Linked DNA regions of Rhinolophus ferrumequinum. The protein of the gene in region 1 interacts with the protein of each later gene in a biochemical or structural test. Links are inferred from orthologs where the notes say so. Each region holds a gene or a part of one and is shown in the gene's direction. Other genes may lie near its edges.

The links.
Region 2: the proteins of PSMD2 (region 1) and UBLCP1 form a complex in vitro, tested with the Homo sapiens proteins (3 studies listed by BioGRID). The link is inferred for Rhinolophus ferrumequinum from reciprocal best matches to the Homo sapiens genes PSMD2 and UBLCP1.
Region 3: the proteins of PSMD2 (region 1) and UBE3C form a complex in vitro, tested with the Homo sapiens proteins (2 studies listed by BioGRID). The link is inferred for Rhinolophus ferrumequinum from reciprocal best matches to the Homo sapiens genes PSMD2 and UBE3C.

What each region holds. Positions count from the first base shown.
Region 1 is NC_046285.1:60,849,545-60,857,458, reverse strand, and holds the start of PSMD2 (26S proteasome non-ATPase regulatory subunit 2), read left to right. Parts: upstream 1-4,902; 5' UTR 4,903-4,954; coding exon 4,955-5,089; intron 5,090-5,534; coding exon 5,535-5,591; intron 5,592-5,972; coding exon 5,973-6,137; intron 6,138-6,929; coding exon 6,930-7,051; intron 7,052-7,246; coding exon 7,247-7,471; intron 7,472-7,783; coding exon 7,784-7,914. UniProt on the Homo sapiens protein: Component of the 26S proteasome, a multiprotein complex involved in the ATP-dependent degradation of ubiquitinated proteins.
Region 2 is NC_046307.1:28,968,104-28,975,015, forward strand, and holds the start of UBLCP1 (ubiquitin-like domain-containing CTD phosphatase 1), read left to right. Parts: upstream 1-3,865; 5' UTR 3,866-3,998; intron 3,999-6,263; 5' UTR 6,264-6,307; coding exon 6,308-6,461; intron 6,462-6,912. UniProt on the Homo sapiens protein: Dephosphorylates 26S nuclear proteasomes, thereby decreasing their proteolytic activity. Recruited to the 19S regulatory particle of the 26S proteasome through its interaction with 19S component PSMD2/RPN1.
Region 3 is NC_046309.1:878,532-885,921, reverse strand, and holds the start of UBE3C (ubiquitin-protein ligase E3C), read left to right. Parts: upstream 1-4,298; 5' UTR 4,299-4,653; coding exon 4,654-4,719; intron 4,720-5,088; exon of another isoform or gene 5,089-5,107; intron 5,108-7,390. UniProt on the Homo sapiens protein: E3 ubiquitin-protein ligase that specifically catalyzes 'Lys-29'- and 'Lys-48'-linked polyubiquitin chains.

The sequences.
Region 1 (7,914 bases):
CATAGCAATGTACATAATAAGTGCTCCAGTTTCCATTTTACAGATGTAACCCTAACCACTTCACTAAAGTCAAAGAGACTTGGATTGAAATCGAAGCCCTGATAGCTATATGAACCTGAGCCCATTCCCTAACCTCCATGAGTCTCAGTTTCTTTACCTGTAAAACGACAACTAGAGCAAAACAGTAGAGAGTCCAGTCTCAATTCTCTTTAAAACTCACTGTTCCCCGAGGTGGGGGTGGGTTTGTTGAATTTGGAAGGGTAAGTGTGAGGCTTTGCCATTGATTGGTGCTGGGGTCCCTGGTCCCCAGGTGATGACACAAGTATGTTCCCATCGTTGGTATCCTGTCCCAGCACCAGACTTGCCCCATAAAGTGCTATACTTGGGCCTCTGTCAAGTTATTTGAAAGTGCTGGCTGCTCACCAATGGAAGGAAATAGCTGGCTACTCAGAAAGGACCAAAGTGGCCTTGGGAACTCTAAGACCAAGGGAAGGCACGGCGTGAGCCTCTGCGAACATTGACTCTAGAAGGGACAGCAAAATGCGTTGGAAAGGGGGACCATCACATCTGGAAACCTGCTTCTGGCTCCAAGTCTACCACCCCCTAAATACGTGACAGTACGCATGTCTCACCCCCTCTTCAGGGCTCAGTATCCTTAGCAGTCTTTAAAATACGTGGGTTGGGTGAGGTGATGTCTGAGGACCAGTTCAGCTTTAATGTTTTAAGAAGGAATTCATGGGGCCGGCCCGGTGGCTCAGGTGGTTAGAGCTCCATGCTCCTAACTCCGAAGGCTGCCGGTTCGATTCCCACATGGGCCAGTGGGCTCTCAACCACAAGGTTGCCAGTTCGATTCCTCGACTCCCTCAAGGGATGGTGGGCTCCGCCCCTTGCAACTAAGATTGAACAGGGCACCTTGAGCTGAGCTGCCGCTGAGCTCCCGGCACCCTCCACAACTAAGATTGAAAGGACAACAACTTGACTTGGAAAACAGGCCTGGAAGTACACACTGTTCCCCAATAAAGTCCTGTTCCCCTACCCCAATAAAATCTTTAAAAAAATATAAAAAAAAAAAAAGAAGGAATTCATGGACTTATCAAATTCTGGAATCCAAAGAAATATTGAGAAATGACTTGTGAAGTTTGGGTGTTGCACAGAAGATGAGATTTATAATGTCAGACAGCATAATGAGGGAAGAGAATAGCTTGGCAGCATAAAGTCTTGCCTTTCCCTTGACATCTGATTTCAGAGACAAACTTAGGATGCTGACCAGCGGGCCATTGGGACATAGAAACTCCATATTTGCAGAAAGGTCAAAATGCCTAATAATGATAATAAAATCATTATAAAAAGCAACTTTCATTTATTGAGTCCCTATTTGGCTTAAGCCTGTCCTAAGCTCTTTAGAAACATCATCTCATTAAATTCCCACAATAACTTATAAGGAGGTTCTATCATTGTCTCTATTTTACAAGTAGAGAAACTAAGGACAAAGATTACATAACTTCCAATGTCAGATTGCATTAAAGTAACATCTGGAACTCAGATGCTCTTAATCACCAGCATTTAGTTTTCTAAGTCATGACAGACTTTAGACTCCAGCAGAGACATCTGTCTTCTGGGCGATTTCCTCATACATCCAAGTGAGACCATCACCAGCAGGTACATTTCCATGCTACTCAGCTCCCCTGGCCCAGGCACATGTGACACCCAGGCAGCTGCAGGAAACAGGCACATGTTGAGCTGAAATTCAGCCAGGTAACACCTGTTTGTTGAGCACTCTACAGGTCCTTGGTTCCAGAAGCAAGGCAAGGTGAACATCAGGTGACAGACCTTTACCCTCGGTAGCCCTGCCAAGCTGATGAATATGCACCTGTGAAATGCTCTGGGGTGTGAAGGCAGGAGGAGGATTAAAGGCGGTGCTCCTGGATGGGCACGTGGGAGCCGTTATTGGTAAGGTGCTGGGCCATGCCCTACACTATCCCACTGGGAAGTTTGACTAAATCCCATGCACAATTAGGTAACAAATGCCAAACAATATGATTTCACACTTGGAAACACGCTGGACATGTCAGGCTGGAAGAGAGTCCCCTATAAAATAAGCAGTTTCAGTGGGCCCATACTGACTCACAAATGCAGAATCTGGACGGTTTCCCAATGCCCAGCTCTGGGCTCCAAAGACAGCCCCTGATGGGCCATTACTATACATAAAGATGACCTGAAGATGAATGCAAAGCCATTCATTCATTCATTCATTCATTCAAGAAGTATTTGTCAAGGCCTACCACAAGCCAGGCATTAGGCTGAGTGCTAGGGGCACACAGTTCCTGTCCTCTAAGAGCTCAGAGTCTAGGGAGGGAGACATGTATCAAGCACGGTGAGAGCACAGGGAAGAAATTAATAGCTTGAAGGGTGGAGTAGGAAAAGCTTCCTAAACAGGTGACATTGAGCTGGAGTGCAGAGGATGGGAGAATTTGTTAGCTGAAAACAGTGAAGGGCATTCCATACAGAAGGAATAAGTAGTGTGAAAAGGCTGATCAGCCTGAAGGGCAGGGTGTGTTCAGACATGGTGAAATGTTTAGGATGACCAGAAGGGGCATAATGAGAGGTGAGAATCCGGAGAAGGGAAGTTGTGACAGTAGGTACGAAAAGAGGGGATTCCCTGCTGTCCTGGGAATTAATAGAAAGAAGGGCCACAGTGCAATCTGACTGAAAAATATCACACGAAGAAAGTAGCAACCTAGTGGAAACAGTGCGAAGTTGTGTCCTGCCAGGATCACTTCTGGTGTTACATAAGTGATGTGTTGTCTTGAATGGTTCTCAGATGAGCAGAGCCATCCATCAGATGTGTAGCTCTACCTCTCAGGCCATGAGTTTGGGGGCAGCATGGCAGGCTTGTGGATGCAATTTGAAGGAAGGTGGTAGGAAGGAACAGGTGATGAGCTGGTCCCTTATTGGAGAGCAATTTGGCCACAGGGCTGGGAGTTTGGCCAAATGGTAGGAAGGAGTGCTTCTGGGAAGGCAATTTGACTGAACCGAAGCTTGAGGCAGGACATCAGTGTTATCGTGGGGCCTTGAAAATTACTGCCAGACATTTGCATTTGGCTGGAGAGGCTTGGGGGCTTGAATGCTTGGAGGTGGGGGGCAGGAAACAAGAATGTTTACCTCAGTCAGCCCTGCAGATCTGAGGTAGTTGGAAAATGACAACTCCCTGCTTTCTAGTTGCCAGGTATAAAGGTAAAGCTAGCGGCTTTATATACACTGTTTTATTTCATTCTCATAACAACTTATGAGGGAGATATTTTATTACCCACATTTCACAGAGGCAGAAACCAGGCTGAGAGAGGTTAGAAAACTTGACTAATTATCACAACTAATGAAGGGCAGAATTTGACTTTAAATACCAGGTCTGTCTCTCTCTAAAGCTTATGTTCTCCTACTCACTCCAACTTTTTATTTTCGACATTTCAACCCTACAAAAAAGTTGAAACATAGTGCAACAAATATTCCTAGATTCTTCCTCTGGAGTCGCCAGCTGTTGACAGCCTGTGTTTTATGCCACATCACCCCATCTCCTCTAAGGTGCTGGCTGGGACATGACTGATATAGAAGACAAAAGCTGAGACTTGAGAGAAAGAAGTCATGGAAAAACAAGAGATTTAGGAGAAATACATTTACAGATGACTGAAGAAAGCATGACAATGTATGGACATCTTGAATCCAGAGATAGACGAGGCAGAACGGCTATCGGCTGCCCAATTTCTGTCAGCAGAGCAGGACTGGGGAGTCATTGGCTCTGCAAAGGCAAAGTCATCCCCAGAATCCTAGCAGTGAGTGGAAATGAGCAACAGGTTTTAAAATGGGCTTCAGACCTTTACAGGTATATGTATACAAATATTTAGCCAACATTTTTTCAGTGCTAATCATGTTGTACTAGTTTTTTTTTAAACAAATTTTCTGCATTCTTTAATGTCTGAGAACCCATAAAATAAGACGCCAGGCCAAATGATGAGTGTTCTCATCAGATGAAGGGGAGAAAAATTACTCCCTCCTTTCTCACCTTCTGGATTCATACCTAGCCCAACCGAAGAAATTTTGAGGTTTGCCTGAAACAGTCAAGGGCTTGAAAGACAGAAGGATCAGTATTCAATTCCTGATTCTACTCCTTACCATATAATTTTCTCTGTAAAATGGACAAAACCCTGCCAAACTTAAAAGGTTGTGAGAACAAAATGTAATATTCAAAATCAGTCCTGACACAGAGTATTCCTCATAACAGGGAGAGGTATTCCTCATAACAGGGAGAGGAATACCAAAACAGACAGGACAAAGACCTTGTCTTGTTCTGTTTTCAGCTCCGGAACTTAGCATTGGAGCATAAGACTTTATTAATTTTTACTCCACCTGGCTCCGCAGGTGGATTTAAGGTAGTAGCCATATCTTCACGGTAATACTGGAGTACTTTCCTTCAACTGGGGGTAGGAGGGAATGTAATGAGGTCAATATTCCACTGTGGTATGGAGCTACACCTAGATTACACAAACTTCACATAGACGGCAATCAAGCGTCTGGCTTTCAAGAATCTCGTCCGTTTGTCCCACCACGCATCCAACTGGGGTACTAACAACTGTGAGTACTAATCACACAGCTATGAAGATACCTATGGATGGTCTCTCGGTTCGCAGCCAGCTCACCAACACGTACGAATCCCAGACTGCAGACTCCCGTGGAGTTCAGGAAACTCTAGGTCCAGAGGCGGTGCTTATGGCGCGCGGGAGGCTGGGAATTGTAGTTTTCATTTGGCTTCCGAGGGCTGGGGCGCTTAGGTTTCGGCGACGTTTCCGGTCGCAGGCGGGCTCTGGAGGTGGAGGGAGCCTTGAGCGACGCGCGCGATGCTACCTGGGAAACGGGGAGGTGCGAGTGGTGCGCACGCAGCTGGCCGGCAGTGGCCGTGGAGATGGAGGAGGGAGGCAGAGACAAGGCACCGCTGCAGCCCCAGCAGCCCCCAGTGACGGCCCCAGGCGGCGCAGACGAGAAGCCGGGCGGCAAGGACCGGCGGGATGCTGGGGACAAAGACAAAGAGCAGGAGCTGGTGAGGTGTGGCCCCGGGGGCCGGCGGAGGAGGCCGCAGGCTGAGTCACGGAGGTGCCGCAGGCCTCGGGCCCGACTCCCAACGGCCCCGCGGCGCTCGGGGGAGGGCGGATGGGGAGACCCTCGGGGCTCCCGGCACCCCGCCTCTCTGCCCCTCATCCTCCATTCCGCGCGGTAACCTCCGCCACCCCCGCCAGCCCTCACCACCGTCTGGTGATGTGGGCCCGGGCGGGTCATTGTCACCCCAGTTTTTAGAATGGCATTCACGCAGAGCCTGGTCCAGAAACCAAGCTGCCTTCCCGCCAGGGCATCCCATTCCCGCTGTCTCTCCTTGTCCACCTGGTCCCTAAGGAGGCAGGCTCACTCTCCACCTGCCCCAGGGTGAATGGGAGGAGGATGTGTTTGGGATTCCTTCTCTTGATGAGCCTCTTACCCCAACTCTCCAGTCTGAAGAGGACAAACAACTTCAGGATGAACTGGAGATGCTCGTGGAACGACTGGGGGTGAGTCATGATATGTTAACAGGAGCTGGTGCGTGTTTGGAGCTTTCCCACTTGTTTGTTTCAGTCCATTTTGGGGCAAGAAGTCCTATATGAGGTATAGGGAAAGGTGGACTGTATTTTAGGGTCAGTGTTATGGCGAAGTTGTGAGAGAGGAAAGTAACAAAGGATATTTAAAAGATTTTGTAGCTGTCTCTCCTGGGAAAAGCAGTTCTCGAACTCTTCACTGGGGTCATTTGTTTTTGTGCCAGGCAGTGTGCAGGTAGTTGGAGAATCACAGATGAATAAGACAGTGACTTCCTAGGGGAGTTGTTAAACAGCTGTGTATTATGACATGAGGGATGTATTATAACTTTTTGTCTGACCCCTACATCTCCTTTTCAGGAGAAGGACACATCCCTGTACCGACCAGCCCTGGAGGAACTGCGAAGGCAAATTCGTTCTTCTACAACGTCCATGACGTCAGTGCCCAAGCCTCTCAAATTTCTGCGTCCACACTATGGCAAGCTGAAGGAAATCTATGAGAACATGGCCCCTGGAGAGAATAAGGTAAAACTATTTCCGGCGTTGGTGGAGGCCTAGTTTAGGAATTCCTTTTCATCAAGACCATGGGGCTCATGGGAAGTCCTACAGGAAGCCTGACAGACCTGAGATCTGAGCTGGCTGAACAGAGCTTATCACAGTCAAAATACTCACTTAAGAGCAGACAAGAGGATTGCTTTCTTTTGTGAACAGAAGGTACTGTTTCTGTCATGTATGTTGGACCTTGGGATTTCATTATTATGATCTATTTATTTCAGTGTAACCTTAACTTTTTTCTTTCCTCACATCCCATGTACATTCATTCGTTTTATCTCTAAAATATGTCCCCAGTTCAATCACTTCTTTGCCTGTTGGAATAATGCTAATCCAGGAAATCTTCAGTTTTCACCTGAATTAGTGAAGCAGCCTCCTAACTGGCCTTTTTCCTTTTGTTCTTGACCTCCTACACAGTTTGTTTTTCATATAGCAGCCATAGTAATCTTTCTAGATTGTGAGTGTTTTCTGCTTAAAACTTTTCAATTAATAGTTTATTGTTGTGATTAGAATAACATCAACAATCCATCTTTCTCCACTTTCCCCTTATTGTCGCCCTTTAGCCATGTTGGGTTAAAAGGGAGGTAGCAACACTAACCTTAGAGTTATCATGAGGCTTAGCTTAGATAACGTGTGTAAATTTCTAGTATAGAAGCTGGTGTATAGTTAGTGCTTAATTTGGGGGCTAGTGATAGTGGTCTTGATTACATAATGTAACACCCTCCCTTACCTTGGATATGACTTCAAAGACTTGTTTCTTTATAGCGGTTTGCTGCTGATATCATCTCTGTTTTGGCCATGACCATGAGTGGGGAGCGTGAATGCCTCAAGTATCGGCTAGTGGGATCCCAAGAGGAATTAGCATCATGGGGTCATGAGTATGTCAGGTAAGACCTTTCCTTGGGAATCTGAAAGGGGTGCTGAGGCATAATTCTGAGTTTAGTCTTGGGAGGACCTGGGGGTACTATCTGTTTTGGAGTACCAGTGGATTGAGTTTCGCAGACGTTAAATTCCTTGACCCACAGGGAAGTGCTTCCTGGGAAGCTGTGCTCCCTTAATGGTTTCGGCCTGTCTATCCATAGGCATCTAGCAGGAGAAGTGGCTAAGGAGTGGCAGGAGCTGGATGATGCAGAGAAGACACAGCGGGAGCCACTGCTGACCCTTGTGAAGGAGATTGTCCCCTACAACATGGCCCACAATGCGGAGCATGAGGCCTGCGACCTGCTCATGGAAATCGAGCAGGTGGATATGCTGGAGAAGGACATTGATGAGAACGCATATGCAAAGGTCTGCCTCTATCTCACCAGGTGCGTAAGCACGGTAGGGAATGGTGGCAGGCCTCCCTTCCCAGCACTTCTCTCTTAATTGTGCCTCCTCTATTTTCCCAGAACACCTGCATCAAAGGTAGTGTCAGACTGTAGTTAATTTATTGTCTGTAAGCTAATTTATTGTCTGTAAGCTGAGGACAGAGACATCATGTCTCCTTAGTAGTCCCACCGTCTAGTATAGTGCCTGGTATGTATACAGCAGGCATTTAGTATTTATTTTGGGTAAGTGAATTAAATGGGGTAAATGAATGTCTGGAACTTCTGATTCCTTTATTATTTTTACCTTCGTAGTTGTGTGAATTACGTGCCCGAGCCTGAGAACTCTGCTCTGCTACGTTGTGCCTTGGGTGTGTTCCGAAAGTTCAGTCGCTTCCCTGAAGCTCTGAGGTTGGCATTGATGCTCAATGACATGGAGCTGGTCG
Region 2 (6,912 bases), on another chromosome or scaffold:
ACTAAAGCCTTAACATACCAGTAATTACATTACATACAAACGGTCTATTTTATTTGTCAAAGCCAAAAACTGGAAACAACCAAAATGTCCAATAGTTGAATGGTGAGACAAATTGTGGTAAACCCACACCAGCGAAACTTCCTCAACCATAAAGGGAAATGGACTATAGATATACGCAATAGGTTGAATAGATCTCAAGTGCCTTAGCTGAGTGAAAAAGGCCAATACTATATGATCTTATTTACATAACATTCTGGAAATGGCAAAATCATTTTCTAGAGATAGAAAACAGATTAGTGACCAAGGCTTAGGAATGGTGAGAGGAATGGGACGGGTGTAATTATAACGTGGTAGCACAAAGGATATCTTTGTGGTGAGGGAAGAGTTCTGTATCTTGATTGTAGTAGTGGTTTTATGAATGTACGTGTGATAAAATGACATAAAACTGTACGCACACACATTGTACCAAGTCAATGTCCTGGATTTGATATTGTATTATAGTTACGTAAGACGTCATCATAAGACAAAACTGAGTGAAACACATGATCTCGCTTTTTGCAACCTAATGTAAATCTACAATTACTTTAAAATATCACATATAAACTATATATACATATGTGTATGTATCCAAAGCATAGAAAATATTTGCAAAAATAGGCATACAAATTAACAGTGGTAATGATATATCTGTATTATTTGAAATTTTTAAAAAACGAATGTCTTCATGAATTTCTTATATAAAAAGAATGTAAAATTATTGTAAAAAATTCAAGTACAGAAAAATATAAACAAGATGAAAGTCACCTGCCTTATGATGCCATCAAGATAATTTCATTAATTCATTTAACAAATACTTACTGAGTGCATCATATGGTGCTATGAACTGTTAACATTTTGTACATTTCAGAATTTTCCTGTGTATCCAGTTATATACAAATAATAATCATTCACTGATATTTATTATAAGCAAAATATGTATTATTATACAATATGTTCTCACTACTTGACCTTCTATTCATTCATTATTCATCTATTCACCAAATATTTATTGAGTACCTGCTTCAGCCAACATCATGTGAGACTCTGAGACTATAATGGTAAATAAGCCAGACATGGTCTGTTTCCTCACAGAGCTTACAGTATAGTGAAAGACTGTCACTACACAAATTTTCTGAAAGGAATACACAATTACAGATACTGTCAAGTTTGGACAATATAAACAATACTTTAAAACACCCAACTGTGCAAGGAAAGGATAGCAAGATATCATGTCATGTTTATGATGAAAATGAGCCAGTAGAGAGAGATGTTAAACATACAAGAGGAAAAGAAAGGGATACTGGATTTACAGAAAACTTCCTGAGAAGAAAGGAGCCAGAGTACAAATATAAGGGTTGGCTTCCGGTGGAAGGAAAACTGCTACATTGAAATAGAAGCAAAAGAAGCTAGGACAAGTACAGAGGTGACTTAGTTTGTAGATTTACAGTCAAAAATTGAGGCAATTCCTCTTTGAGACCTTCTATTTTCTTAGCAAAATATAAGGCAATGTCATCTTCCAAAAGCAAGGATGTAAACTGGAAGATCTGAGGTATGAAGAGAGTTGAGTTTTTAAAGTAGTCATTTGGGAAAGGAAATTGAATAGAAAAAGGTAGTAAACTTGCCAGGCTGAATTAAGGGCTTGTAGAGTCTGTCCTATGGGGCAGAATGTAACCATTTTCAGCTCACTGACTGCAATCAGGAAAAAGGCAAGGTAATACATAGGTATTAGAACAGAGAAACAAAGTACTACAGTGAATTTAAAAAAAAAAAAAAGAGGGTTGTTTCTCAACTGGAAGGAGGAAGAAAATGGTCTGAGAGAGAAAAGGGAAGGAAGAAAATAGGTCAGGGGAAGATGGAGATAAAAGCAGGGAGGTGGTGGATTTCTGGCCAGGGTACAGGAATGTCCTTTTGTCTTCCATGGCCACAGTGATAATTTATCATCTGATTTTGTGAAACTGGTTCCATATTTCTTTTAGTCTTTTAGACCTGTCAATCCATGGAAACCCTCCGGGGGAGTTCCCAGGAATCTTAGTTACTGCAGAGAAGTATGAGTGAGGCACAAGGATATCATCCATGCATTAGAACAGAGGCTCTAGTGAGCAACAGGAGGCAGAAGTTTAGTTTTTCTCTTCTTATTGGTAGTTGTGTGCTGTTGTGAGCCCTTAGGTCCGTTCTGTACTCATTCCTAGTTACCAAAGGTCCAGTTCCTTTACTCAAATGATATCTTTCAATCTACTCCAAGTGTTTTCTTACCATTATTTTTGATTTCATGAATGTTTAGCTAAATAGAAATGGACTTGGAGGAACTAAGATTGGGCCAAAGATAACTTAGAACCATCTGTTAAATGGATCATTTGTCCAAAACACTCTACCATTATTACTCTTGGAGAAATACTACTTACTAGTCAACACTTGGCGATTATTAAATTATCTACACTCTAGTAATACCAAACTTATCAGTCCCTTTATACAATGGCTATTCCATTATTAAAGAGAAGAACTTCCATATGAGTCCTGTTGCTTAGCATTAGTGAAGCTCAAAAGTTTTAGGTGACCTTGATGATTAACAAAAACAAGCTTCTCTCAATCACAATAGCAAGAAAATATAAAGTGGCCAAGCAGCTGGTTAGCACATGAACAAGGCAAGGAAGAGACTGGATTGAAAGAAAATTGTAACTCATTCTAGAGTCCAGTTCCTTTTCTTTTGAACATTAGTTTGGCTGGATTGCTAATGCATGATTTTTCTACAAGTTATTTTAATTTAGGGTTTTCCCTTCCTCTTTTTTTTTGAACAAAAGGGCAGCTTTCCTTTTGAAAACACACTTCGTTTTTTAAAATTACCAAAAGAGAGAGGGAAGTAAAATAGTGTGTGTCTTAACTAAAACATTGTTAAGAAACAAAACTTGGCTCTTTGCTTCCCTTCCATCACAGCCAAAAGGGAAACACATTACACTGCTGTCAAGAAGAAGTGAAAATACAGGTAATTCAAGGACTGGTACATAGTTGGAGGTCAATGTTATTTTCGCATTTCCCTCTTCCTTTTTAAAACGTAGGATTTGTTTGACACCATATACAACAATCTAGTGGACAATGATTTTTTTTCTTTCTTTTCTGGCTAACAGCCAGGGGTGCACGTCGGTAGTTCGCTCTATGAACCTGATAGGGGCCGCTCTGAATTTCCATTAAAGTCTGGAATTCTTTCGACAGGGTTTGTAATTGGCTTTCCTCGCATTCAGAGGGAAGATGGAACGAAGGTGGGGATGGGCGCGTGGCAATACAACTTGATACAATACTATAATCTCCAGGGCAGCTCTTATATTGAGATTTGTTTCTTTGGTTCTCTGAGTTGCTGAGGCTTGCACCTTCCCTTTCCTGACAATCCTCGGTTTCCCTTACGGACTGGGTAAATGGGTAGAATTCTAATCATTAGCTTCTGAAACTAGCAGTGTTGGTGGCCCCTGGTGCCAGAGAAGGGTCTCAAGTCTCCAGTCTTCAAAGGCTACCTTTCAGGTCTCATTCGGAACCTGGACAAAGCCAACGAGTCCCAGTCCCGAGTTCCACGAAGATCTCAGCACACCCTACCCACCTCCGACTGGACGAAACGATACCGGTGACAAATCCCCGAAGCACCTTCGCAGCTCGGAGCCCACAAGCGGGCGCATGCGCAGAACGGAGCGAGCCGACAGCCATCCAGGGATCGTAGGCGTCTGCACAGTGGTCACAGTCTCGGAAAGGCCTGGCTCCCCTGTCGCCGTGAGCGGACCCCTGGCAGCAGCTCTCTAGGATTACTACCCGAAGAGAAACAACGGAAGCAACTGTTCACCATCCAGCGCGTTTCCGCTTCAAACCCTGACTTCCGGTTCGTCAGCCGGTTCCGTCCTTGCTTTTCACTTCCGGTCGCCTTCCGTTCCGCTGCAGCCGGTTCTACGTCCGCTGCTGCCGGGGCCGCCGTACTCCAGGTGAGGGGACTCGGGGCACCCCGGCGTGCCGCCCGCGAGACACCGATGGCCCGGAGGACAGCAGTGTTGCTGTGCTCGGGACCTTCGCTGCCGCCGGCCGTGGCGGGCTGGGGGCTGCTGGTGGGCGCCGCGGGCCGCGTCTGCCCTAGTCGGCCGCCCAGGCCTCCGGCCCTGACTCGCTGGCTGCACGGGCCGCCGCCCTCGCATCCGGCCTTCTCGCGTAGATCGAGGGCTTCCCGCACCCCAGTAGGCGCAGCGTCCCCAAACTTCATTCCTCCCTCTTCCAGGGTTTGAGCATCTCTCCCCCTCACTCTCGCTTATTGAAGACACCCGGGCCCTCGTGGGTTTTGGGGTCTGTCCCTGCTTTCTCGGCTATTCCATGCCCGTCACTTCGCACAGCTCTTGCCTCTGCACTATCACTCAGTTGCTGCTGCTCTGCTGTCCTGAGTCGGCGTTGCCAGTAATGCTGCTTCACACACCTTTCACTAGGCTTGTTGAAAAGTTAGCCCCCTGCCCTCAATTCCCAACTTGTGCACGTTTGCTGCTATGACTTTCATATTTCCGCCTGTGCTACTGTTCAGGTGTTAGGCAGGTTGGTTTACTTCTTTTTGAGTTTTCTGATCTGTTTAATAATATTAAAACTATCACAATTTGACTCAAAAGGTCCATTTGGCTTTTTCTTGAGGATCGTACATTTGTAAGAGCAAGTTCTCTAAAATGGAATGCATTGCCCTAAAGTAACACTTTATTTAAATTTTTGTTAGGTTGGTGCCAAAGTAATTGCGGTTTAAAAGGTTAAAAATTGCAAAAACTGTGATTACCTTGGCACCAACCCAATAGCAGAACAGGTTGTAAACATAAGAGAGTAAATATAAGTGAGTTTATGGTGCTCTCCTAACAGACATGTTGAAGACACCTTACATTTCCAAATGATTTTTGCATGTGAAGATTCAGAAGTAGCCTTCTTTCTTGCAGTTGGTTGTAATGAGTGCAATTAAAGATTTCAATAAATAAGTGACAGCATTTGGAAATACCAGTACTTTGAGATTAGAAAATCCACTTCTCTGGCCTGTGGGGGTAACAAACTAACGAAAACTGGTAGAAAGCTTTGTGGGGGAAAAGACCTACATGCTGTTGTCGATAAGAATAGCAGCTGCTATATCATTGTTGTGCGCTAATATCTGTGCCTGTGAGTTTTGTATTTATTGATTTTTTTTATTTTTTAGTTTTATTTTTTTGTTTTAAGGAAGGCGCAGCTCACAGCGGCCCATGCGGGGATCAAACCGACAACCTTGGTGCTACCAGCACCACTGCTCTAACCAACTGAGCTAACTGGGGACACCCCCCCTTTTCTTTTTAACTTTGATGCGTTAACTCCTGTAGGTCCAATTCAAGAGAGACAGTTGTATAGGGAAAAATCATGAGAGTTAGTCAGAAGACCTGTTCAGTTACCAGCTGTGAGCCCATGAACACATTACATAACCTCTCTGAACTCCCATTTCCTTAATTATAAAATAGGATAATTTTTATCAAACCTTTTAAATGAGATTATCTATGTAAAAACTCCCAATTTATTAAATAGGAAACAAATAATGGCCATTTTACTGTTTAGCACAGTGCCTGGAACACTTCCAGTTTTTTAAAAATTGTATTTAACCAATACTTATAATGCTTACTGTGTGCCACATACCGTGTGACTTCTAAATATTAACTAATTTCATCTTCATAAGAACCCTGAGGTGTAGTTAGTATTATCATCCCTATTTTGCAGATGAGAAAGCCTAGGCACTAGAGAGTCAAGTTACTTCCCAAAGTCAAATAGTTGCTAAATGGGAGAGTTGGGATCTGAATCCAAATAATCTGGCTCTAGAGTTTGTGCTCTTAACAACTCACCACACTACCTCTCAAGTGTCAAATGAACAGTGGTTCATCATGGAGAAACTTTGCCTGTAGCATAAACCTGATCAAAAGAGAAGAAGGGTTAGGTAGCTCATTATTGCGGCTTTCCAATTGCACAGAGAAAATCTGATAGATTATTAGAAAGTAGTAACTCTAAGCCAAAAACTGGGAGGGTGGAGGAATTTTAACTTGAGTCCTAATAACTTTGGGCATTCTGGTAACATCACTGTAAGAAAATCCTGTTTCTCTACTATCAAATTGTAAAATAGAACTCAAACTGTACAGCTTATGAAACTTGTTACAGGTTTGGATACATCTTTGATATATTTCTTTTAACTTGTTTATTGGTATATGCCTTCCTTCTAGGTATTTTTTTCTGAACAAAAGCTGCCTCAACATATGTTTCAAGGATGGCTCTCCCTATTATCGTAAAATGGGGCGGACAGGAATATTCAGTGACCACACTTTCAGAGGATGATACTGTACTAGATCTCAAACAATTTCTCAAGACCCTTACAGGAGTGCTACCAGAACGACAGAAGTTACTTGGACTTAAAGTTAAAGGTAATTCTCTCCTCACTTCAAATTTTTTGCATTGATATGAATTTTTATATTAGCTGTTAACTATTCTCCTTAATAAGTCTTTCCCCGTGGAGATTTCTTTTGTAGGGATATTTGTAAAATTTTTTGATAATAAGTAAGAATCTTAAAGATTACTTGAAAATACCACCACAATTAAGATTACTTTTGATTCCTCCGATTGTTGGTGTTTGCTTGTTAAACACATTTAGCACAGGAGACCCAGGTAAAACACTTAAGTTTTGACAACTATCTTTTAGCACAGCATTTTCATTACAGCTTGGGCCTTGTTCACTTCCCAGATTTTCTTCTCTGTTTTGAAAGTAATGATGATTTAAAATGATGATAGCAGTTATAGGCAGTGTTCATACCTAGTCTAAAAGGGACTTTCATGGTGTCGATGTTTGTCATATTATTGAAGGGTGAGTTTTGAGTA
Region 3 (7,390 bases), on another chromosome or scaffold:
AGCACCCTGAGGCAAACGTAGGGTGCTGTATCTGAGCACTGCCAGGGAAGGGCATCCATGGTGCATTCGGTACAAAAGCAAGTGGTTGGGGGCTTGCGGGGAGTATGATCTCTTTTAAGAACAGAACAATCCTAGATACACAGGTTGGCACACAGAATAATGCCCCCCACACCCAAAGATGTTCGCACCCTCATCCCCAGAACCTGTGAACAGTACCTTCCCTGGCAATAGGGACTTAGCAGATGGGATAAGTTAGGGATCTCGAGATGGGGCAGTAGTCCTGGTTATCTGAGTGGGACCGTGGTTATCAGAGGGAGGCAGGAGGGCCAGCGTCTGACATGGGAGGACGGAAGCAGAGGTAGGCGTGATGCCAGAGTGGAAGGCGCCATGTGCCTAGGAACCCTGGAAACCTCTAGAAGCTGGAAATGGCAAGGGCATGGATTCTCCCCAGAACCTCCAGAAGGAGCACAGCTCTGTACACACCCAGGTTTTAGCCCAGTGACACTTCTGACTCCCACACTGTACGATAATCAATCTCTGTTGTTGAAGTCACTAAGTTTGGGATAATTTGTTACAGCAACAGTACTAAGAAACTAAGATGGATGGATAGATAGATGATATGATAGGTAGATAATAGATGATAATAAATAATAGATAGATGATAGATGGATAATAGATGATAGATGGATAGACAGATGAGGGGTGTAGGGTACATGGAAAGTTTCTCTTATACTTTGCTTGTATCGATATTGTTTTGATTTATGTTAATAATTAATATGCATCATTATTCTAAATAATAAATCCTTACAATAAAAATCTGGGTAATCTTTCCCGAATGTTTGAATTGTAGGTAACTTAGACAAGGTGTGCAAGAGAAGAGAAAATGAGTAAATGCAGTCCTGGTGGCAGGAATTCTTCCCTTCCTCTCCTGCAAGTTACAAAACACCTTCTGAAACAATTTACAATTTTTAGCCAGAATCTTCACATAAATTGAAGTCTTACTGCTTCCCAAACAAAAGCTTAAAAATATACTGCATATGTTGCATTAGATGGATTTGGAGCAAAGAAATAGAAGAAAGGAAGCATGCTTTCTAATTGAGGAGGATGAGGCATGCAGGGCTCTTTCAGACACCAGAAAAACCTCACCTGTAAGGGGTATTCGAGATTATTATTATTATTATTTTAGGCTGTATCTGAAAATTCTATTTTGAGATAGTTACAGAATCACAGGGAGTTGCAAAAATAGTACAGAGATGTCCTGTATGCGCCCCCCAGATGCCCCATTGCTGCGTCTGACATAATGACAGCACAGCAGCCAACCGGAGCCATGGCACTGGCAGTGTGTGTTCACAGCGCTGTGTCATTTGGTCACGTGGAGTTCATGTAACCGCCACCAAGACCAAGATGTGGAACTGACCTCCCTCCTCCTGCCGTCTGAGTCATCCCACCTGCCCTCCTCCCCGTCACAACTACAAAGCCAGTCTGTCTCTGTGATTCTGTCATTTTGCCATATACGTGGAATTACCCAGTATGTGACCATTTGGGTGTGACTTTTTCTCTCAGCCTCATGAGAGCACCCAAGTCGCTGTGTGTGCCAATAGTTTGTTCTTTGATTACTGCTTAGTAATATCCAAGCTGGGGTCGCAGCAGGTGGCTTGACCATCACTCTTTTGGTTGTTTCCAGATCTGGACAATACAAATAAAGCTAATGTGAACATTTATGTATAAATGACATGTGAACATACGTTTTTATTACCCTGGGATCAATGTACAGGAGTGTAATTGCTGGGTGGTAAGGTAAGTGTATGTTTCATCTTTTAAAAAAGAAACTGCTAAACTCTTTTCCAGTGTGGCTGTCACATTTTACACAGGGGAGGTCAGGTTTCTCTGCCTCCTTGCCAGTGTTTGGGGCTGTCCCTATTTTTCATTTTAGGTGTTCAAATAGGTGTGTCGTAGAAGTTATGGTTTTCAACCTACCTCTTTCCACTGCTTTGTGTTAGTAATCGATTGAATTCACATATATTTGAGGGCCTGTCGTACGCACTGCAGTAGGTACGAGAGGGAGCTGCTCAGCTTCTTCACGCCTACGGAGTCTGTAGGCTGGAAGAAGACACGTATTTGGTAAGGCACCCTGGAGTCACGTTTCACAGGCACTCAGTTCTGAGGCAAGCACATGTGGTTGGGAATCTTTTATTGTCAAAACTATCGTGGAAAATTGCTGTTGGTTTTTGTAGGGTGATAACTATGTCTTCAAAAACATCCCGCGTTTAAAGAAACATACTGAGATATTTACACATGAAATAATATCAATAATGGAGGACAGTGGTTAACAAGTGGCGTGTAAGTTACACAAGATTGGCCATGAGTTGATAATCATCACAACTAGCTGATGGGATTGATTATACTATTCTCTCTGCATTATTAGGCTTGAAATTTTCTATAAAAGGGTATTTTAAAAATCTTTGAAAATCCTTCAGTAGGTATCGGCATGTCGGAGACACTCTTTGGATAAGCCCGTTTTCCCTCTGGCATGGGGGCAGCTTACTCATTCTTCAGTGGAGTGAGTACCAAGTGAAGTGGTCCCTCACACGATAGGGCCACCAAATAAAAGCACCAGAGTTAGCACAGGGGTGCTTACACCACAGCAAGAGGGACACGTGAGACCAAATGAGGGGACAGCAGTGCTGGGATTTGTAGAGGCCCAGTAAATATAGCACCACCGCCCTCCCTACGTTCTTAGCCCATGAGAATACTTGAACAATCCCCAGCAGATGGAGACAACACACCTTAATTACCAGCAAAGCTGACAATGGAGAACTAACTGGGCTTGGTGTTCCAGTCAGTGGGGCTTGCCCGCTCCTCACTCCTGGGCTAGACCTCAAAGAGTTTATCTGAGGCAAAACCTCAGACCTCAGAGCAGTTCACTGACTAAGAGCACATACTGGATATCACCAATATTTTTAATCTTTGCCCATTTGACAGCTTAAGAAAAATGTGATGTTGTATTTACAAAATCTGTAATATTTCAAAATTGGTAAAATTTGGAGATTTTTTAATGACTCAAGCATCTTGATATATCAGAGTAGACGTCTGTATTGATGGGAAACAGCACACTGATCCAGTGGCTTTCAAAAGTTTTTGCTCCCGACTTACAATAAAAAATATATTCGTATTCTATAGGGTGACCTAGTTATTGAACTATATATATATATAGTGTATGTGTGGGGCGGTGGAGGCAGGATTTTCCTGAGATTGTGTATGTTTCGTCTTTTTTTTTTAAATTTATTGGGGTGACAATTGTTAGTAAAGTTACATAGATTTCAGGTGTACAATTCTGTATTACATCATCCATAAATCACATTAGTGTTCACCACCCAGCGTCAGCTCTCCTTCCATCACCATATATTTGATCCCCCTTATCCTCATCTCCCACCCCCCAACCCCCTTATGTTTCATCTTTTAAAGAAGAAACTGCCAAACTTCCCCAGCGTGACTGTCACATTTTACATATGGGAGGTCAGGTTTCTCTGCCTCCTTGCCAGCATTTGGGGCTGTCACTATTTTTGATTTTAGGTGATGGAATAGGTGTGTCTTAGAAGCTACAACAGTGGTTTGCAAGCAGCATTAAAAAAAAAAAAGAGTAAAAAAAAAAGCAGTGCATCCGACACAGTGATAAGTATTACTTTGTAAAATTTGGTTTTTAGTCCTATGTCTATAATACATATGTATGTGTATATGATATATTTATGTACACATGTGCACGTGACGTGTATATGTGTGTACATAACATACATTTCTGTGTACGTGTATGCATGTGTATGATACATGTGCGTGCGAAGTACACACGAGAACCAGGTTACCACGTGAAATGTATGCACTCCCTGCAGGAACTAAGGATGTAATAAAACCTATCCTTCTCTTCCCAGATCAGTCGCTGGGCATCATACTGAAGGCTACGAGCCCGCTTCCCAGACATACACACACCCGACATCCGAGTCCAATTCCGGGTCGCGGGCACGCACGACCCTCGGCCCCGCCCACACGGCCCCGCCCCCGGCCCCACCTACGCGCCCTGGCCGCAGACCCAGGTCACCGCGGCACGTTCCCACGCTCCGACGCGCCATCAAGGGCGGGCGCCGGGAGGAGTGCCGTGGCGTCGATGGCGGGCTCGCGCACGCTGGCAGGGCGCCGGGAGGAGCGCCGCGGCGTCGATGGCGGGCGCGCGCCCGCTGGCAGGGCGCCGGGAGGAGCGCCGCGGCGTCGATGGCGGGCACGCGCACGGCGGCGGGGCCGCGCACGGCGACGGCGGCCGGCGGCCATCTTCCCTCCCGGCGGCTGCTGCTGGTGCAAGTGCGGGGTCCGCTTCCCTGCGGCGCCCTCAGCCCCGACCGGAGCGGTGGGGAGGCGTGGATGACGGGGGAGGCGAGGAGGAGCCGCCCTCCAGTGTCGCCGCCCCCCCACCCGAGGGCAGGCCCGGGCGGGCAGAGTCCCCAGGGTGGCCTCGGGGTCGCTTCCAGGAGCGGCCTCGTTTTCCCCGCCGGAGGCCCCCCCGCAGGAGACCCCTCCCCCGGGACCCCACCCCCGGAGCCCCTCCCCGCCCGGCCCGCTGCTCTCAGGATCCGGGGCTCCTCCCAGATGGGATAAGCTGCAAAGATGTTTAGTTTTGAAGGGGATTTCAAAACGAGGCCCAAGGTGTCTCTGGGAGGCGCGAGTAGGAAGGTAAGAGCGGCCTGCGAGTGTCCGCGGCGTCTGGGCCCCCGGCGGGCGGGCGGGCGGGCGGGCGGGGGCCGGGGGCGGCCGCGGGCTCCGGCTCCGCCCTCGAGACCGCGCCGGCCCCTGCCGTGTCACCGGCCCCGGGGTTTGGAGCAGGTGTGGAGGGCAGGCTGACGGGGGCAGGGCTTCGCAGAGCGCGAGCGCCCGCCCGCCCCGCTCCCGGCGTCTCCGCTCCTGCGAGGGGGCGCGGGGGGGACGGACGGCCTTTCGGCTCGGGCCGTGAGGAAACGGCGGCGCGGCCGCGGTGCGTCTTCTCCGGAGGGACTTCAGACCCTTCGTCACGCCTGCCCTAGGGGAGTACCGCACGGTGTTGTCTGTTGTCGGAAGTGAACAGGTGTGTGTGTGCGCGGCGGCAGTCTGGGAAATTGAGGCAGAACCGCGGAGGGGCCGCGTGGGTGAATACGAGGCTGTGAAACTTACTCTTTGCCGGCCTTCTGGAGACACATTTCTGGAGGGAAATACGTGTGTGTCTTTTACGATTCGTCATGTAATTATTGTCATCGTAATTGTTTAGGGTAAGGGCGGACCAACTGTGGTTACTCTGCCCATGGGAGCGCACAGCGAGGCGGTGGCAGGTGCCCACCCCAGGATCCACGTCCCTTCGCGTGTGTGGCGCCTGTGCCTTCCGCTGCAGACTGGAGTGCCCGGGCCTGCCCTGCGGGGGACCGAACCTGGTTTCCACCGAGCAGCCCGTCTCTTTTCCGGGGACAGGACTTGTCATTTGACCTGACTCTCAAGGGGAGAGCGCGCATCTTGCTTTTGAGCTGTGCAAAACAATTTTTTCCCCTTTTTCCCTCCTTTTTATTGACATACAGACTTACCGTACATCACCAACCTTAAGTGCACATGCTTCCTTAGGCTTTGTCCCCTAGAAGGGCCTGAGGACACCTTGTGTGGGTGCCGCTGAGGAGGGGAGGAGGGGGGCGGGGGCCCATCCCAGTGAGAACCCTGCACAGCGGCTGGCACCCCAGTTGTCCCTGTGGAGGGAAGGGGCTGGCGTTTCGCATCCCCCCGTAGTAGTCATCGGCTGCAGGCTGCCCGCGGCGAGGGTGGGGGTGTGACGCGCTGGCCCCTCCGCCGGGCCCGGTGTCCTGAGAAGACTCTGGGCTGCTCTCCAGGGAGGTTCAGCTTCAAGGAGTTGTCCACGTGACCGCCGGGCATTCCCAGCGTTCCTCAGGCCGGTCCTGCGCCCTCCCCATGCACGACTACCGTCCCACCTGTTACCGTCCCACGTTGGTTTTGCCTGTTGAACGTCCGTGCGTGGGGTCACATGCAGTTTGTCTCTTTCTGTCCATCTGGCCTCTGGCTCAGCATTCTGTCTGAGGTGGAACCCACCGTCTTGTTCTGTGTTGTGTGAACACACCAGTGATCATTCTGTTTTATGGGCAGTTGTGTGTGTGTGTTGGCGGCGTGTACGCTCATGCTGGTCGTGTGTGACACGTGGGCGCCAGTGCACACTGCCGGCCTCCCTGCGTGGGGTGCCTGCAGAGGCAGAGGGTTTCAGTGGCTTCACTTCCTTGTCAACACTTAGTACTGTCACCCCTCGTCATTCGGGCAGTTTTGGCGGGGATGTCGTGTCACTGTAGTTTTCATTTTGCTTCCTGACAACTGCGATGTTGAACAACTACATACACGTATCTTCCTAATTCTCGTATCTTCCTAATTCTCGTTGGCTGCAGCTTAGGCCTTTCCCTCATTTAAAAAACAAAAAGATATAACGATCTTTTCTATGATTTAGATTATTTGAATCTTTTCTTTCTTGAGCCTAGTGGAAAACTGAATAGTGCCACCTTTTGAATAAATATGTCTTTTTTCTCAAAGTAAGTTAGTATTTTTAGTGTTTATTTCTCAAAGCTCTGTGTAGGGTTTGAAACCGAAGGAAAAGTCCGCGTCCTCAGTATGATCTTGTTAGGGAGATGTGACTTAAACAAGTCAGTTAAATAACGAGAGAGTAATTACTACATCTGGATTTCCTTGGGCTGACCCAGGAAACGCTGGAGTTGGTTGGGGCTTAGTCTTGAAGGACCCGCAGAATTTGGGGAGGTGAGAAACAGGAAGGGTATCCCAGCGCATGGAACAGTGTGCATGGAATAACGTACTGGATCCCATGATGCTGAGTCACAGGTTCCCGCTTTTTAATATTTCTGAAGTCAGGATGCACCATGGTGGCATGACATAGTTTATTGGCAGTATTTTTCCATTTCTTGGTAGTACATAGAAGGATATCTTAGAGGTCATTTGATTACAGGTACAGGAATCCACTGAAACTGGCTTAGTAGGCAAAAACAAAAAACAAAAAACAAGTGTATGGGGAGGATAAGATGGTATCTCCCAGAATGGAAGGACAGGAACATCCGGACAGCAAGTCATCAGCACCATGGTGGTTACTGGCTTTCTTCCTGGCCTGTACCACCTCCTTCATTCTTGGCGCTCCGCAGACGGCTTTCTCCTTTCACCTGCGCAGGACCTTGGCCCGGGTGGTTTCCTAGTGCAGGTGCCCCGCTGAGGCGGCTGGATCTCAGGCCCAGTTCTCAGGAGGAGACTCTGGCCTGGGCAGCTTTCCTCCTGACCAGCTGAGTCTGGGCGGCGCTGGAGTCCTGGCTCCAGCCACAAACGG